Linked DNA regions of Rattus norvegicus. The protein of the gene in region 1 interacts with the protein of each later gene in a biochemical or structural test. Links are inferred from orthologs where the notes say so. Each region holds a gene or a part of one and is shown in the gene's direction. Other genes may lie near its edges. The genes, in order: Clspn, Usp20 and Csnk1g1.

The links.
Region 2: of the proteins of Clspn (region 1) and Usp20, one has a biochemical effect on the other in vitro, tested with the Homo sapiens proteins (2 studies listed by BioGRID, with this or other methods). The link is inferred for Rattus norvegicus from reciprocal best matches to the Homo sapiens genes CLSPN and USP20.
Region 3: of the proteins of Clspn (region 1) and Csnk1g1, one has a biochemical effect on the other in vitro, tested with the Homo sapiens proteins (2 studies listed by BioGRID). The link is inferred for Rattus norvegicus from reciprocal best matches to the Homo sapiens genes CLSPN and CSNK1G1.

What each region holds. Positions count from the first base shown.
Region 1 is NC_086023.1:144,166,250-144,170,899, forward strand, and holds the end of Clspn (claspin), read left to right. Parts: coding exon 1-91; intron 92-654; coding exon 655-737; intron 738-937; coding exon 938-1,099; intron 1,100-1,978; coding exon 1,979-2,089; 3' UTR 2,090-2,100; coding exon of another isoform or gene 2,101-2,128; 3' UTR 2,129-3,282; downstream 3,283-4,650.
Region 2 is NC_086021.1:34,689,944-34,695,895, forward strand, and holds part of Usp20 (ubiquitin carboxyl-terminal hydrolase 20), read left to right. Parts: intron 1-1,435; coding exon 1,436-1,883; intron 1,884-2,276; coding exon 2,277-2,417; intron 2,418-2,696; coding exon 2,697-2,812; intron 2,813-2,964; coding exon 2,965-3,137; intron 3,138-3,570; coding exon 3,571-3,665; intron 3,666-5,952.
Region 3 is NC_086026.1:75,346,894-75,352,927, forward strand, and holds the start of Csnk1g1 (casein kinase I), read left to right. Parts: upstream 1-1,720; 5' UTR 1,721-1,746; intron 1,747-6,034.

The sequences.
Region 1 (4,650 bases):
AAAATTGCTGCTGAAGAAGAGGACGTTGGAGAAGACAGTCAGTTTATGATGCTAGCCAAGAAAGTCACAGCCAAGGCACTGCAAAAGAATGGTGAGAGCTCTTCCTTCTGTTTTTGGTCTGGCTGCTTGGATTCTGAGTGTTGGCGCCATGGAAGGAACTCTAACCTTCAGGGACTGTAGCAGCTAACGTAGCCATTCTGTAATACTGTCTTAAAGGAGCCATCGAAGTGAGGAGAAGGTCTTTAGCTATTGGTCAGTAGAAATTGTACTTAGTAAACATCTATGTAGCTGTTTTGCCTCAAGTTTTGAGGCTTGACTGATAAATTGTGGCTTCTCTCTGAGTTGCCCAGGACTTATCTGCTCAGTTGTTAGGGCTGGCATTTGAACACAGGCGCATTGAACTCCAGAACCATTTCTCTCATACAGTACTCCAGTCACCAACTGCTGTTTTCTCTTACATTAGTCTTTGTTAATGATTGATCGAAAAGGTCCACTTCATTGTTTCCTTAGTGACACTTGCTACAGTTTTAAAGTCATGAGTATAAAATAAACAAGAGTTCTTATTACGTCAGCTTTTAGGCTTCTTACCTTGTTTAAATATGGAAGAGATTCTACCCAGCCTTGCCCAGAACACTTCTTTCTGTTTCTCTCCAGCCAGTCGTGCCGTGGCTGTTCAGGAATCGAAGTCTGTGCTCAGTAACCCTTTTGAAACCATCAGAGCGGGAGGTGCTCACCAGGTTAGTTGGAACCATGTTAATCTGACATCACGGTCTGTAGATCAGTCTGTCATCCAGAGAGGGAGGTGGCCCCAGGACGTGGGAAGGCCTTCCACAAGGTAGAAATGCATGCCCTCAGTACCGGGCTAGGCAGATGGGGTGGGTGTCCTCCTCCTTTGTGGCATTTGTGGTTTGATATCAGGTAACTCTTCTTCCCTCAGCTGAAGACAGGCTCCCTGCTAAACCAGCCCAAAGCTGTGCTTCAAAAACTCGCTACCCTGTCTGACCTCAACCCCAGCGCTCCCCGAAACTCAAGAAACTTTGTCTTCCATACACTTTCTCCCACCAAGGCAGAGACAGCAAAGAGTTCATCTAAGCCTCAGGTAGGAGTGCTGTGTGGTACTTCCCAGAGTCTATTGGTGGGGCTTTATTTCTTGTTTTTTAAAGATTAGTTTGTATTTTACCTATATGTATGTACATGTTCTATGTGTGTGTCTGGGACCTGGGGAGGCCAGAAAACAGCACCAGATCCCCTGGAACTGGGGAACTAGAATTACAGCCGTGGGTGCTGGGAACAGAGCCTCTGGTCCTCTGCAAGGACCTTAACTGCTGAGCCATCTCTCCAGTCCCCAGATATATTTGTTTTATTTTTTAAAAATGTGCGCACGCGCGTGCGTGTGTGTGTGTGTGTGTTTGTGTGTGTGTGTGTGTGTGTGTGTGTGTTGAAAGTAAGAGAACTTGCCATCGAGCATGAGGATCTGAGTCTGAATCAGCACATATAAAATGGCAGCCGTGTGCCGTGTATGGCTGTGCTATTCTATAACCCGAACATCGGGCAGAGAAAGGCTGCTGGCAGGCTATCCTAGCTGAAGTGTCAAACTTTCTGTTCAGAGACAGACAGTCTTAAAGGAACAAGTCAGAGAGCAATGGTGGAGATCCCAACATCCTCCAGCCTCCATGTGCATAGACATGGCATGCACCGTGCACCACATGCATACATCACACACACACCCAAAAAAGTAAAATAAAATGAAATAAAAATTCTTATCTAACAGCTGTTGCAGTGTTAGAATGTTTCACACCTCAAGACTTATAGTGGAGTTGCTGCTCCAATGGGCAGTTAGCTTTTAAATTTGCTTTCAATCTTTGTTTGTTTGTCTGTCTGCTAGTCCTCTGTGCTTTAACTGAGTTCCTGAAGAACTCACTGAAGGAGAGCACTTGTGTGTGTCTCGAACTGGCCCTGACTCCTGTGTTCTCTCTAGGTGAGAAGAAGGGGACCATCGTCAATGATGTCACCGTCCCCTAAGCGGCTGAAGACAAATGATAGCAGTCCAGGACCAAAGCGAAGCATCTTCAGATACTTGGAAAGCTAACACCATCCGGGATGCCAGTGTCTGTGGAAAGTACTCAAAGTAGGTCCAGCACGGAGGGGTGGGACTGCTGTTTCTGCCGATGACCTCTCCTTCCCTCAGCACCAACACATTACGAGCAGAGCTTCCCCTTCTCCCCACCACACAGCTCTCCACAGCATTTTCTTTCCTAGTTATTTTTTAGTTTGGCCACCAGAGTTCCCAGCATCGACTTACAGAATAATTGAAGTCTCACTTCTTCCGTTAAGCACTTGACATTTTCTTCCTAGCAGTTTCCTGGGTTGACACCACTTTCAAGTAGAGGTGTTCGTTGGAGGAAGAAAGTGTGGCATTATAGAAAATTACAGAAAGCACTGAAAGCCAGCACTGGGATGAGGCCTCCACAGCCACGCAACCTCTAACCCAGTAACCAGGCCAAGAAGCACAGTCCTGTCCTTCTGTGTCTTGTAAGCTTCTAGCCTTGATCTCTGATTAACCTTTATCGCCTTTGAAATAAGGACGTAAGCTGGTACCTAGTTGAGAAAGAGGCTGTCCCTCACTTTCTGCAGTGTGGGAGGAAGATAAAGGTTAAACCCAGTGTCCATCCGCACTGGATAATCAATGGAGAACAGACCTTCCCTGGGACTGGAGGAGTCTCAACTAACAGCATTTGTTGGAGAGCCTCCCTCCCTTCTGCAGAAACCCGACCACTATTTATTGCTGCTCTCGGGCCGAGTTTCTTGGCCTGACCATCAGAGACCACTTTACTACTTCATCACTAATGTTGGGAGCAGACCAGCAGAATTAGTAAAAACGTTGCAGAGAGCCGCCATTAGTTGCTTTCTTCCACCAGCCACTGGGCTTTCAGAAACGTAGACCAACTCCCTCCCGTTGCTGCTTTGCAAAAGCCATTGCAGGGGAGAGGTGGGCGAGTGTGGAAGCGAGCGTGGGAGGCTGGGGGAGGCCGTGTCCATCTTTTACTGAGAGACAGAACGCAGCCCATTCAACTGACGAAACGAGGATGGAGGTTTTCTGTTGGGTGCTAGGGCTCTTTGGTTTTGTTTTTTTCTAATCCTCAGGATAAGGATACTGACTTGGACCGAACACACAGTTGTACATTTGTAATCTTGTAATGGGAGAGATGTGTATAAAGCTGTTTTAATATGTATGTAGTTTTCAATAAATCTCACTGCCCCGAGGGCAGGGTTTGCTGTCCAGCTTCAGCGTTCGTTCTTCAGTCAGTGCCTGAGTTGAGAGAGGATTTGCTTTTCAGTAAGATCCCTCCCAGGGACTCTGCATCCCGCATAAAGGGTGCTGCGGCTGCCCTACGCTGGCTTCTCCATCCACAGGAAGTGACCAGACAACCCACTTAGTGGTCTCAATTCAGGAGGAGGAGAGGCTTCATACAGTCCTCCTGCCCTGACCCTCTGAGAGACCCTTTCTCCTTGGCTGACCTCCATGTGCTTCAGTGTTACTCTGGATCCAAGGTGACGGTTATTGCTGTTCTGCGCTTTATAAAAAGCTCCTCTGAGGCCCCTCCTCCCCTGGGCAGCAAAGCTGGGAAGTGAGGCAGCAGATCCCAGATCCCTTTTCTCCTCATGCCCTGCGAGTAGTAATTCACTTGGGAGCAAATGGGGCCTTGCCCAGGTTGAACAGGCTTCCCAACCTCTCCACATGCTCCTCTTGGGAGAAGTGAAAAGAAGATCTGACCACTAAATAGAAGAAAGTCAGTACCTGAGAAATCTGGGAAATAAATTACTTTTCTTTGAGTATCTGGGTAAATGCATTCTATTTTCTTAATCTTGCTACATTTCATTTAATTTTAATCTTGCTTCATTTCATTTAATTTATGTTTGTATGTGTGTGTGTGGACACACATGTAGAAATAAGAGGATAATTTGCAAAAGTTAGTTCTCTCCTTCCACCATTCCTCAGGTTTGGCAGCAAGTGCCTTTACCTGCTGAGCCCTTTTGCTGGCCCCCAAGAACGTAGTCTTTAGCTTGCGCTTGCAAGCTTTTCTACCCAGTCTGTTGGTCCCCAGAATAATGCCTCGGAGGCTGGTTATGTTTGAGTAAATGCCTAGGCCATAAGCTTAGCCTCGTTCCTCGACCAGCTCAGAACTTACCTAACCCTTTTATCCTAGTCCTTATCTGCCACATAGTTACCTCTCCTCAGTTTCAGGTGTCTGTCTCCTTCAGAGTTCCCACGCCTGACTCTGTCCCAGAGTTCCTTTCTCCCTCCATTTTGTGCCTCAGCTAATAGGCCATCAGTTTTTATTGACAGGTGGTGCCTCCATACAGTGCACAAGAAATTCTCGCTGCACTTTAGAGAAGAAAGAATGTAGTCTTTAACCATAGGTCTCTTTTCATTACGAAAGTACACGTGCCAGAAGTCATGCTAAGCTTCCAGCTTTTTTTTTTTTTTTTTTTTTTTTTTTTTTTTTGTTCTTTTTTTTTCCGGAGCTGGGGACCGAACCCAGGGCCTTGCGCTTCCTAGGTAAGCGCTCTACCACTGAGCTAAATCCCCAGCCCCAGCTTCCAGCTTTTTAACAGGACTGAAGAGTTTCTGCCTGACCCACATGCTGT
Region 2 (5,952 bases), on another chromosome or scaffold:
TCATGCAGAGCCCACAGGGCCTGCTGTGGGTAGGGACTCACAGGCAAACCTGTAGTAAGGGCTGGACCTGTTGGGGTCACCTCTTCTGCTTATATGTTGGCCCCTCAGGTGCAGGGGAGGCACTGGGACTGCCTTCTCTTTCATCTGCCGCCCAATCCAGTCTGGGGTCCCCTGAGAAAGTCAGAGCTGCCTCTACTTCCTGTTCTGTGAAGTGGTAACCCCATTGACCTGGGCTGGTTGTCTACCAGAAGGGACAGTGTCACTGGTGAGCAAGGCTCAGAGACACTATTTATCTAGGTCACACAGCACATGGTGGTAGGGAGCGGGGTTTGGGGGTTGAGCTTAGCCCTTACCACGAAGTGGCCCTTATTCCAGACAGAGCTGTGCTGTCTTCAGGCAGGGTGGACACCATCTGGTGGTGCTGCTTGGCTGTTGGTGACATCCATCTGGATTCCAGCAGAAACTGCTTCTCTTGGTCCTTACATTTTCCTGTGGACATTAGACATTCCGAGTCTAAAGCCAGGCACAGCTCTGGGCCTCTCTTGGTGGCCATAGGCTTCCGTGTGCTTCCACATGGCTTGAGAACTCTTGTAAAAGGAAGGAGCAGTGGTAGATAGCTGAGAGGATTTGTCTCCACTCAGTCCTGACCTCTCCCGGGGACTTCTATCCAAGGTGAAACCTCAGGGCGGCTGCCTAGGAGTCCACTTCTCTCATGTGCTCCAGGGAGGCTTGGAGCCCATGTCTGCCAGTGCCCTGAGCCCTTGAGGTCAGCTGCCATCACCACCTCAGTAGGATGGCTCTACTGGCAGGCCACCTCCTAGCTTCCTGCAGGACTGAATTAGGTACTGGGTCCTCAAAATGACACCATATTTGTAGGAGAAGCTACTTAGTCCATGTCCTACCCATGTGAGTCAGGAGAGTGGGACTCTGCATCCAGGGCCTCTCCTGCCACTGTGTCACACACAGGGTGTGGCATGTGAGCAGGCAGGAAGATGCAACAGTAGAGGAGGGATCAGCGTGGCTGCCTGTGTTGGGTGGCATTGTCAGTGCAGTCCTCTTGACAGGTCTGGCTTTCAGTGTCCTGCACTTTCATCCTCTGGGGTCCCTGCTGCCCTGCTGACCCCTGCTTAAGGAAGAAGGATACTTCAGTGGCTAGATGTGGCTGCTTATCTCTCTTCCAACACTGTAGAATCAGAGTTGGAATTGGTCTTGTGGTTTACACCCAGGTCCCCTGGCTGCGTGACCTGGGAGGAGTCCTGTAGTATCTCTGAACCGAGATTGGGAGGGAACCAGAGCAGAACTATGGTGGAAACTGCCTCAGGGGACTAAGCTGCTTGTCTGCACTGTGTCCGCCAGGACCTTGTGGGTAGAAGCAGCAGTGCCCATGGCGGCTCTTTATCCCTGGAGAGCCCCCATGACATAATCCTGGTTGCAGGACACCCAGGAGTTCCTACGCTGCCTGATGGACCAGCTTCACGAGGAGCTCAAGGAGCCCATGGTAGCTGCTGTGGCAGCTCTCACTGATGCTCGGGACTCAGATTCCAGTGACACAGATGAGAGGCGTGATGGCGACCGGAGCCCTTCAGAGGACGAGTTTCTGTCCTGTGACTCGAGCAGTGACAGGGGTGAGGGTGATGGGCAGGGCCGTGGTGGAGGCAGCTCAAAGGCTGAGATGGAGCTGCTGATCTCAGACGAGGCGGGCCGAGCCATCTCTGAGAAAGAGCGAATGAAGGACCGCAAGTTCTCCTGGGGCCAGCAGCGCACCAACTCGGAGCAAGTGGATGAGGACGCTGATGTGGACACAGCCATGGCCTCCCTTGACGAACAATCTAGAGAGGCCCAGCCACCGTCACCAAGGCCTACCAGCCCCTGCCAGACCCCAGGTATCAGTCAGCCATGTCACTGGTTGGGCCACTGGGAAGTGACAGACTGTAAGCCCTGTGTCTGTTGCCTGCCTAGCACTAACATGCACTAGCTAGAGGGTGGGCGGCTTAGCCCCTGAACCCTCCTCACAGGCTGGGAACAGCCTCCGTGCTCGGTTAACTAGGCTTTCAGAGCCACAGCCCTGCTAGTCTTGAGCCTCGGTTGGGAATGGATTGATAATACCCCAGTGTGTTTGATGGGGTCGGGGATGGACATAGAGGAAGATGGTGTGGGAAGGCAGGCGTTATCCCTGGGAGGATATGCTGGCATGCTCTCTTGCTCTGGCCTCAGAGCTGGCATGGAGGGCACTAGCTTGGCTGCCCTGGCCCAGAACTTCCCCTTGCTGTCCCCAGAGCCAGACAATGAAGTCCACATTCGCAGCTCCTCTCGCCCCTGCAGCCCTGTCCACCACCACGAGGGCCATACCAAGCTGTCCAGCAGCCCTCCTCGTGCAAGCCCCGTGAGGATGGGGCCATCGTACGTGCTCAAGAAAGGTTCGGGGGCAGTCATGAACTCTGCTGGGGATAACATAGTGACCAGTTTGGGGCACTTCAACCTTGGTCCAGGCTGTGTGCTGCTCACTTGAGCCCTTAAACCCTTGTAATAGCCTTGGGGTGTGAGAGGGAACCCCATTTTATAAACAGTAGTGCTAAAGTGCCAAGGGGCGAAGTGTGTAAACAGTGAGGGCTCCACACTGTGGCTGAGGAAGCCACTGTCTGTGCCTGCGCCTGCCAGGCAGGGGAAGCTGGCCTAGTCCTGTGCTGTGTTCCCAGCCCAGGTGCCGAGTACTGGTGGCCGGAGGCGGAAGGAACAGAGCTACCGCAGTGTCATCTCAGATGTCTTCAATGGCTCTGTCCTCAGCCTGGTGCAGTGTCTTACCTGTGATCGGGTAGGTACCTAGGGGAGGCTGGCATCCCTTACCACCTGGGCAGGGTGGACTCTCCTGTGCCATTCCCTCCCCCAGGAGCAGGCTGTCTGCTTTGTCTGTCTAAGCAGCAGACACTGGCAGGAGTGGGCAGCAGGCTGATCTTCACCATATAGGTGTCTACCACAGTGGAGACATTCCAGGACCTGTCATTGCCCATCCCTGGCAAGGAAGACCTAGCCAAACTTCACTCTGCCATCTACCAGAATGTACCAGCCAAGCCGGGTGCCTGTGGGGACAGCTATTCCTCCCAGGGCTGGCTGGCCTTCATCGTGGAGTACATCCGACGGTATGCCCATCCTGCTAGCTGGGGCTTCCAGTCTGGTCTGGCTTTCCTGGGTCTACCAGCAATTCAGGGACAAGCATTCATGGGGTCATGGATCAGGGGAGCTGGAGGCCAGAAGATAAAGAGGAGTTTGCTGGGTTCAGGGTCTTGGTCACTTTGGAATAGCCTGGACTAGACACTCCTTGAAGGTGGAGGACAAGTGACAACCTAGAGAGTGACCAAGCAGCAGGTAGAAATGAGGCACCTGCCAAGCTCTGGTCTGAAGAATCACCAGATACTTCCTTAATCCCCGAGGCGCTGGCTTAGGGAAGAGCGCCAAACCCCTCCCCACCAGCCTATGTACACAAGATGTCCAGCCCCAGTCAGGTTGAAACCGACCTCAGCATGCCCATACCCAAGGACGACAGCACCTGTCATCTCTTTCCTGTGTATCTAGGTTTGTGGTATCCTGTACCCCCAGCTGGTTTTGGGGACCTGTTGTCACACTGGAAGACTGCCTGGCTGCTTTCTTTGCTGCTGATGAGCTGAAGGGTGAGTGGCCCGGCTGTAAGGAGAGGACTGACTGTCGAGCCCGTAGGGGCTGTGCCCCAGCTAGCCTGCCGCCCACGCTTAATGCACCGAGGGCCACTTGGCCTTATGGGACGGACCCTGTTCGATTCCACTGATAGTGCATGCCTACAGCCCAGAGCTTCAGAGGTAGAGCAAAAGATCGGGCTTGAGGGTCATCCTGGGCTATATAGTGCGCTCAAGACCTCACTGCCTGAGGCGAGGCCTGGGCTACATGAGAAACAAAACAAAGGAGATACATAAATGTTCACCTGCTATCTATCTACTAGGGCATGCTGGGAACCTCCCAAACTGCTGATCTGTCCTTATTTCCCATCAGATCAGTGGGCAGAAGGGACGTTTCACTTTAGCTCTGTGCTTCCTTGATTGATTGTTTGGTTTTCGGTTTTGTTTTGAGACAGTCTCATGCAGCCCAAGCTGGCCTCATATTCATTGTGTAGGCCACATTGGCCTTAAACTCTAGCCTCCACTTCCTCTAGCTGAGGTTGTTGGTGTGCACCTCCATGACCAGCTTGGATGCTTAAATGTAGGTTAAAACTATTTCTCTGTGCACTTAGTGTGTGCAAACCGCTATCGTAGGATGGAGTCTGAGGACAACCTGGGGTTGATTGTCCTCCTAGTGTGTGGGTCTTGGGCTCAAACTCAGGTCGTCAGGCTCGGTGGCCAGGGCTTTACCTGCTGATCCGGGTATCAGCCTCCTGATTTTTACTTTACTTTTTTCTCCAGTTGTAAAACTACACCATATTTTATAGTTTACAAGTGTTGTGTACATTAACATCACTATGCCGCTGCCGCCACCTCCATTCACAATATTTTCATCTTGCAATATAAAACTATATCTATCAAACAGCTCCTGCCCCCTTCTCCAGTCCCTGATAGCCAGCGTCCACTTTGCTGTGTGCTCCCCCCACATCCCACACACATAGCATTTTTTGGGTTCAGGAGATTGACTGCAGAGCCTTGTGGTTGCGGGCCTGTGTTCTAGCACAGAGCCACACCCCAGCTGGTGTACTTTCTGAGTGTGAGACTGACTGACGGAGCCTAGTGCCCTCAGAGTTCCCTCGATGGCAGCATGGCTCAGTTTTCTTTCTATTTTTAATCTGTCTTCTGGATAAGATATGGACAAGAATTTCCATTTTTATCTGTCTTGTGGACAGACCATACCCTCTGTGACTCCATCAGAGTGGACGTGGTCCACCCCTACATCAGCTGCCGTGAGTGCCACTGCCGTGGCCCTCTGCCAGCACTGAGAGTGTCCTCGTCCGCATGTGCTTAGCAGTAGGCTTGCTAGATCCGTGGAACTCCGGCTCCCCCAGGGTCTTGCCAGCTCATTGCAGAATAGTTGCAAGCTTCCTGGGCCTGAGGCGTCACCAACTGTGGTTTTGGTCTGCATCCTCTGATAAGTGATACTGAGCATCTTAAACATGTTTGCATGGGGTGGGTGGACGTGGGGCTGTTCAGCTTCCAGCATCCACTGGGCAGCTCGCAACCATCCTTGACTCCAGTTCCAGGGGACCCAGTGCCCTCTTCGGATCTGCCCAAGCACTGCATATGTGGTACACAAATAGACATGGTGGAATACCATACACGGAAAATAAAATACATAACCTAAAAGGAACCTGTTCGTCAGTGGGAGTGGGCGATCACTCAGTGGGCAATGTGTTGGCTGAGCCCAAGTCCCCAGCAGCCCGGTGAAAGCCGGCTATGGTGGTATGTGTCTAACTCCAGTGCTCAGGGTGGCCAGGGCCTTACTGGCCAGCCAGTCTATATGAATTCCAGGGGTTTGGTCAGAGACCGTCTCCAAGCATAATAGAGGAGGATGAGCTAACGTGACCTCTGGCCTCTGTACATGCGCACACAGGTGACTTCTCAAATGTGTACTCATAACTCGAGTGCGCACACATGGATCTCCCTCTTTGGAGACATCTCTTCTAGTCTTTCGTGTTGAGGTTAGGAGTTCTTTATATTAACCCCTGTCGGGTACAGATTTGAAGAGGTTGGAGTGTGTCTCTGTTGGAAGAGAGGTTGCCTGGTTGCCCCAGGCCCTGGGCTGAACTCCCAGCCCTGCACAAGCGTGGTAGTAGGCCCCTGTGGTCTAGCACTCTGGCGACAGAGAGGACGGTCTGGAGCTCTCACTTGTTCTAGCTGTGTGTGGGAGGACGCGAGACCCTTTCCGGGAGCACCGAGACACGGTTTGTGACCGCTCTTCTCTGCGTGCATGGTTTTTCTTTTTGTATTTAGCTTTACTGTT
Region 3 (6,034 bases), on another chromosome or scaffold:
CAAACTCACAGAGATTCATCTGCCTCTCTCTCCCAAATGCTGGGATTAAGGTTGTATATCACCTCAGCTCATCTAGGGTCTTGTTTTTTGTTTTTGTTTTTTTTTTTAAGATTTTATTTTATTTATATGAGTACACTGTAGCTGTCTTCAGTCAGACACACCAGAAGAGGGCATCAGATCCCATTACAGATGGTTGTGAACCACCATGTGGTTGCTGGGAATTGAACTCAAGCTGGCTTCAAACTCACAAGAGACCACTGACACTGGTGGGATTAAAGGTGTGCACCACTATCCTCTGTCCTTTCTTGATTAGCAGCATCAGCATCAGCTGGAAATTTCTTATAAATATAAATTCTTTTGGGGAGCAAATACGTTAAAAATTTTATCACATTTATGTTGTGTGCGTGCGTGTGTGTGTGTGTGTGTGTGTGTGCGCGCACATGTACAGGCGCACTTTTGCATGTGCATATCTCACAATGTGTATGAGGTCAGAGTACAGCTTGGGGGAGTTATTTCTTTCCTAAGCCATTCTTCTGCCCAAGGCAGAAGTAGATAATGAGCACTAGGTTCCAAACCAGTTGTTTTGCATGAATGTATTTGCAAAAGCCAAGTGGTCCTGGTCCTTTTCTTTTTTCTTGTTTTTGAGACACAGTCTACGGTATCCCCAGGTTATATAGTTGGGGGGTTTGGGATGATTTTTGAACTCATGATCATCTGGTTTTTTTTTTTTCCCCTCAAAGATAGTAGGCAGACCCTGGTAACCTTGAACTTTTCTTCTACCTTAGGCTATTGAGTGGTAATTGTCTCATTTCCTTCTTGATTTCTTCTTGGAATTGTTAGTCATGAATGTGAACTCATGTGCACACATACAAATCAGTACAGTTTATAAAATTTAAAAAGATTAAAGTATTTTGTAAGAGAGGACTTCTATTTAGCTTTCATTTTTTCCTATCTTTTTATAATTTTTGGTTTCTGTCTCTTTTTGCAATTTTTTTTCTACAGTTCTATTTCCTACTCATTTTGCTTCTGTATAGTCCCTCTTCTTCCTAATAGTTATTAAATAATATATATACATATATTATATATACATTACTTCTAAGGTATATTTTAAAGTTATTTATTGTATCTGATTATTGAAGCCTATCTTGAAAATTTTTTCTTAGATACAGAAAAGAAAAAAATGGAAAAGTCACAGGGCGGGGAGTAGGGTTGTTAGGGGTGGGTTGGAGTGGGAGAGACAGAGAAAGACACATACATACATACATACATACATACATACATACATACATACATGTGGGGGGTGGACAGGCAGACAGACAGACAGACAGACACCGCTAGGTTTGGATGTTTTGTTTTGGGTTATTCCCATAGTGCTTATCCATTAACAGCTCTGCCTAGCTTTCCTGGCTAAAGTAGGAGCTGAGTGTCTACTCTAGACATGTGAGATTCATTAAATGAAACAAGCATTTAATAAAGAATACCCACTTTTTACTGCATTTTATAGAGTTAACAGTTTCCCTTGGTCCTGAAGTTTTAGCCTTCTCACAGGCAAGGCTGTGCTGTGCCTTGAAATTTAGCTTTTTGTTAGGACAGTACTGACAGCATAAATGTCTTTATGTACTCAGCTGTGATTAACCTAAGCTCAGTCCTTGAAACACTGCTTTGCAGTTACCAAGCGTACTTTCAATCCAAGTTGCCACACTTACCAGTACTGATTTCAAGGCCATTGGGATTTGTGTGGAGCAGGTTAGGACAATGAGTTTTTTCTCTTTAGTTTAAAAAAAATCTTTTTAAGGTTTTTCAAGCATTTTGTAACTTATATTTGAATATTCCTACTAATTTGTGATTGAGAAATGTTGACTTGGGTCAGGAGCTTACCTGTGTTTAGAATTCAGAATCTTTAGTCCTTATTCTTTAACATTCTGTTTCTCTTCATGAGACATTCTTTTCTATTCAACTCTAGATTTCTTGCATTGATTTTCTTTTCATACTGAATTATATAAGGGTATACTAGATTATTCATATTCATCAAATACATTTTTATTTGGAGAGATCCAAATTAGTTTTAATACTCAAAATGTATTCCTTATATTATTAGAAGATCCGACTTCTGGATTATCATTCATAAAAATGTGCAGATTTTGTTGTACTTTAACTAGAATGACCAGAAGGGAGTTTATGCCTCTACGTGAGGTTATTCTCTGGTGTGCTTTATAAAAAGGGACATAACACGTTGATACTGTAGTCATGGAATAGTGAAGTTCCAGTCCTAGAAACAGGGCATCATAGAATTTAATTTTTCACTAACTGTAGCATATACATATATATATATATATATATATATATATATATATTGTTTTTTTTTATAACATTCTGAATTTAGTGTAACTTAGTTGTAATGTCATGTAATGTCCTGGAACTAGTTCTGTAGATACAGTAGTATTACTTTTGGTATAATGTGTATTTTTCTTATTTTACGTGTGTGTAAAAGCAGTACCTACATGTGTATGCATGTGTGTATGGGTGCCTCTTTATAAATGGGTTGGGGGGTGCCCCTATGCATGTGGAGGCCACAAGAAGACATCAAGTATCTTCCTCTGTCCCTCTCTACCTTACCACCTTCAGAGACAAGCTCTCACTAAACTGGAAGCTTGGTCTTTTGGCAAGGCTGTCTGACCATTGAGTTGTGAGGGTCCACCTCTCTCTGCTGTTCAGTGCTGGGCTGCAGGCAAGCACAGTTCATGCCTGGCTCCTTTTAGGAAGGTGTGTAGGATTGGAACTCACATCCTCGTGTTTTCTCAGTTACACATTCTGTGTTAACTGATCGCCCTAGCCTCACTACTTTTTCCCCATCAAACTCTTGGGTTATTTATTTGAAAATAGCATTTTAATTTAGATAGTAACATTTAACTGTTATAAACAGTAATATTCAACTCATCAAGACTTTTAAGTATTGTAAGGTGCTACAAAACTAAGACATAGTCCCTACCAAATGAGCCAGTGTTTTAAAACTTTAAAACAAAGTATAAATACTTGCATTTGCATAGAGAAATTTTAACAGTTTGGTATTTGTGAGTTTTTTATTTGTGGGGTTTTGTTATTGTTCTGTTACTGATTTCAGTGCTTTAGGTAGCCTGGTGTTGAACTCTCCATGTGCTGATTCTCCTGCCTCCATCTAGAGATGCAGGTGAAAGCAGAGGCGAGCCTCAGGTGTCTTTCTCAGCAGTCTTCCACCTGTGGTGTTTGTTTTGTTTTAATTATGTTTGTTGGTGTGAGTGTGTGCATGTGACAGCCAGGTGTTGGGTCTCTCTGGAGTTAGAGTTACAGACATTTATGAGCTAACTGATGTGAATGCTGGGAACTGAACTCAAGTCCTCTGCAAGAGTAATGTATTCTTAATCAATGAGCTATCTCTCTAGCCCCAGTTTATTTCTTATGTGTATTTATATGTGTATTTGTGTGTGTGCACATATGCTTTCAGAGGCCAGAAGAGGATGTTGGATCCCCTGCAGGAGGTGGTACAGGCAGTTGTAAGATGCTCAGTGTAGGTGCTGGGAACTGAACTGGGCTCATATACAAAATGAGTGTGAATGCTTTTCTTTTCTTTTTTTTTTTCTTTTTTCTTTTTTCTTTTTTTCGGAGCTGGGGGTGAATGCTTTTCTTAATTTACCTGAGTTAATTAAACAGAATCTCAATGTGTTTAGTCTTGGCTGGCCTGGTACTCAGAGATCTATCTGCCTCCCCTTCCTAAATGCTGGGATTAAAGGTGTGCACCACCAAGGCTGGCATTCCTTAATTTTTTTAGACTTACTTGATTTTATATGTATGAATGTTTTATCTGCATGTATGTATGTGTATCGTATGTGTACTTGGTGCCCAGGAAGGTTAGAAGAGGTAGTCAGAACCCCTAGAAATAAAAGTCATGAGCCACCAAGTGAGTGCTGGAAATTGAAGCTGGGTCCTCTGGAAGAGCAGGTATTGCTTTTAATGCCCCAGTGATCTCTTTAGCCTCAAAGGTTTGTTTCTTCATTTGAGACAGGGTCTTACTATACAGCCCTGTTGTTCTAGGACTCACTTTGTACAGCAAGTTGGCATTGAACTCAAATAGACCCACCTGCCTCTGCCTCCATATGCTGGGCTTAAAAGTGTGAGCTACCACATCCAGATTGTTTTAATTTCTTGTCTGTTTGTGGTATTGTATACATGAATGCAGATGTCCTTGTAGCCCAGAGATGTCACATTCCTTACAGATGGAATCACAGGCATCTGTCAGCTGTGCGATGTGGGTATTGATAACTGAACTCGGGTTCTCTGTTTTTAACTGATGAGCCATCATTCCCCTCTCTCACCTTTGTTTTTAGAGTCTCAGTCTGACTGTCTGTCTGTCTGTCTCTGTCTCTGTCTCTGTCTCTCTCTCTCTCTCTCTCTCTCTCTCTCTCTCTCTCTCTCTCAACTTATCACTTCAGTAAGCTAGGTTTACTATCCAGCCAGCCCTAATAATTTATCTGCCTCTGCTTCCCCAGCACTTGATTTATAGTTGTGTGCCATCATGCCTGGCTTTTTACTTGAGTGCCTGAGATTAACTCAGGTCCTTGTGCTTCTTTACTTAGACTTTTTACACTAAACCATGTCCATAGCCTCCATCGTACTATAATTCGTTGATCCAGGAATTTGGCTGAGGGTCATGGGACTCTCCTGGGTATATTGGATGCTTCTGCTGAGTAGCTAAATTGAGAGCAAACTTACGAGAGTGGGATTGGTTTTAAATAATGTTTCCCAAAGCAATGCTAAAATATAAATAAAACTTTGGGTTTTATTTGCTCTGTTTGTTTGTGGTGGTCCAGTCTTTCTCTTTCTCTCTCTCTCTCTCTCTCTCTCTCTCTCTCTCTCTCTCTCTGTGTGTGTGTGTGTGTGTGTAGGTAGACACATGTATATTACAGTATTCATATGTAGGTTAGAAGACAACTTTTTTTATATTATTTATTTAATGTATAATGTGAGTGCACTGTAGCTGTCTTCAGACACCAGAAGAGGGCATCAGATCCCATTACCGATGATTGTGAACCATCATGTGGTTGCTGGGAATTGAACTCAGGACCTCTGGAAGAGCAGTCGGTGTTCTTAACCGCTGAGCCATCTCTCCAGCCCCAGAAGACAACTTCTGAAAGTTACTTCTTTCCTTCCATCTTTTTGTGGGTTCTAGTGGTTGAACTCTGATAGTCAGGTTTGTGTGGCAAGCACCTTTATCTAGTAAGTGGTCTTGCTAGCTTCTACTTAGGCATTTTGTTTATTTACTCAGTGCTTTTAAGATTTTGAAATATAACTGGTACTCTGCTGTTGTTCTTATCATACTGCTGTTTTAATTTTTGCAGATTTACATAGCCCTGACTGGTCTAGAGCTCACTGTGTTGCTGTACTGGGGATGAACCCAGTGCTTCCATGCATACTACAGAAGCACTCTACCAATAGAGCTAAGGTCCTAACCCCCTATTACTATCATTAGTATTGCATGTAGACTCAAAAGTCATGTTGAGGCTTTGGCAAATTCAGTATGGAGTCATACAGGATAGTTGTATTCACTGTTGAAAATTGAAGCTGTCTTCAAGGTTGTCATTTAATGTGAATACACAAGTAGCAGCTCCTTCAGCTCTCTGTGTGGATCCAAAGAGAGGTCTCTTACTAGTATAGATATTTTGTATCTAACTGATTTAATAATCTCTGCCTTTTTTAAAAAGATTTATTATATATGAGTACACTGTAGTTCTTCAGACATACCAAAAGAAGGCATCAGATCCTATTACAGATGGTTGTGAGCCACTATGTGGTTGCGGGAATTTGAACTCAGGACCCTGGAAGAACAGTCGGTACTCTTAACCACTAAGCCATCTCTCCAGCCCACTCTGCCTTTTCACATGCTGCCTTAAAGCTGTTTTACAGAAAGAACAAGGATAAGGGTAAATAACTCTTAGGTGGATAGGCCCACATCTCTGATTAGATTTGTTCTTGTTCTGTGGTCATTCTTATTTTACCAATA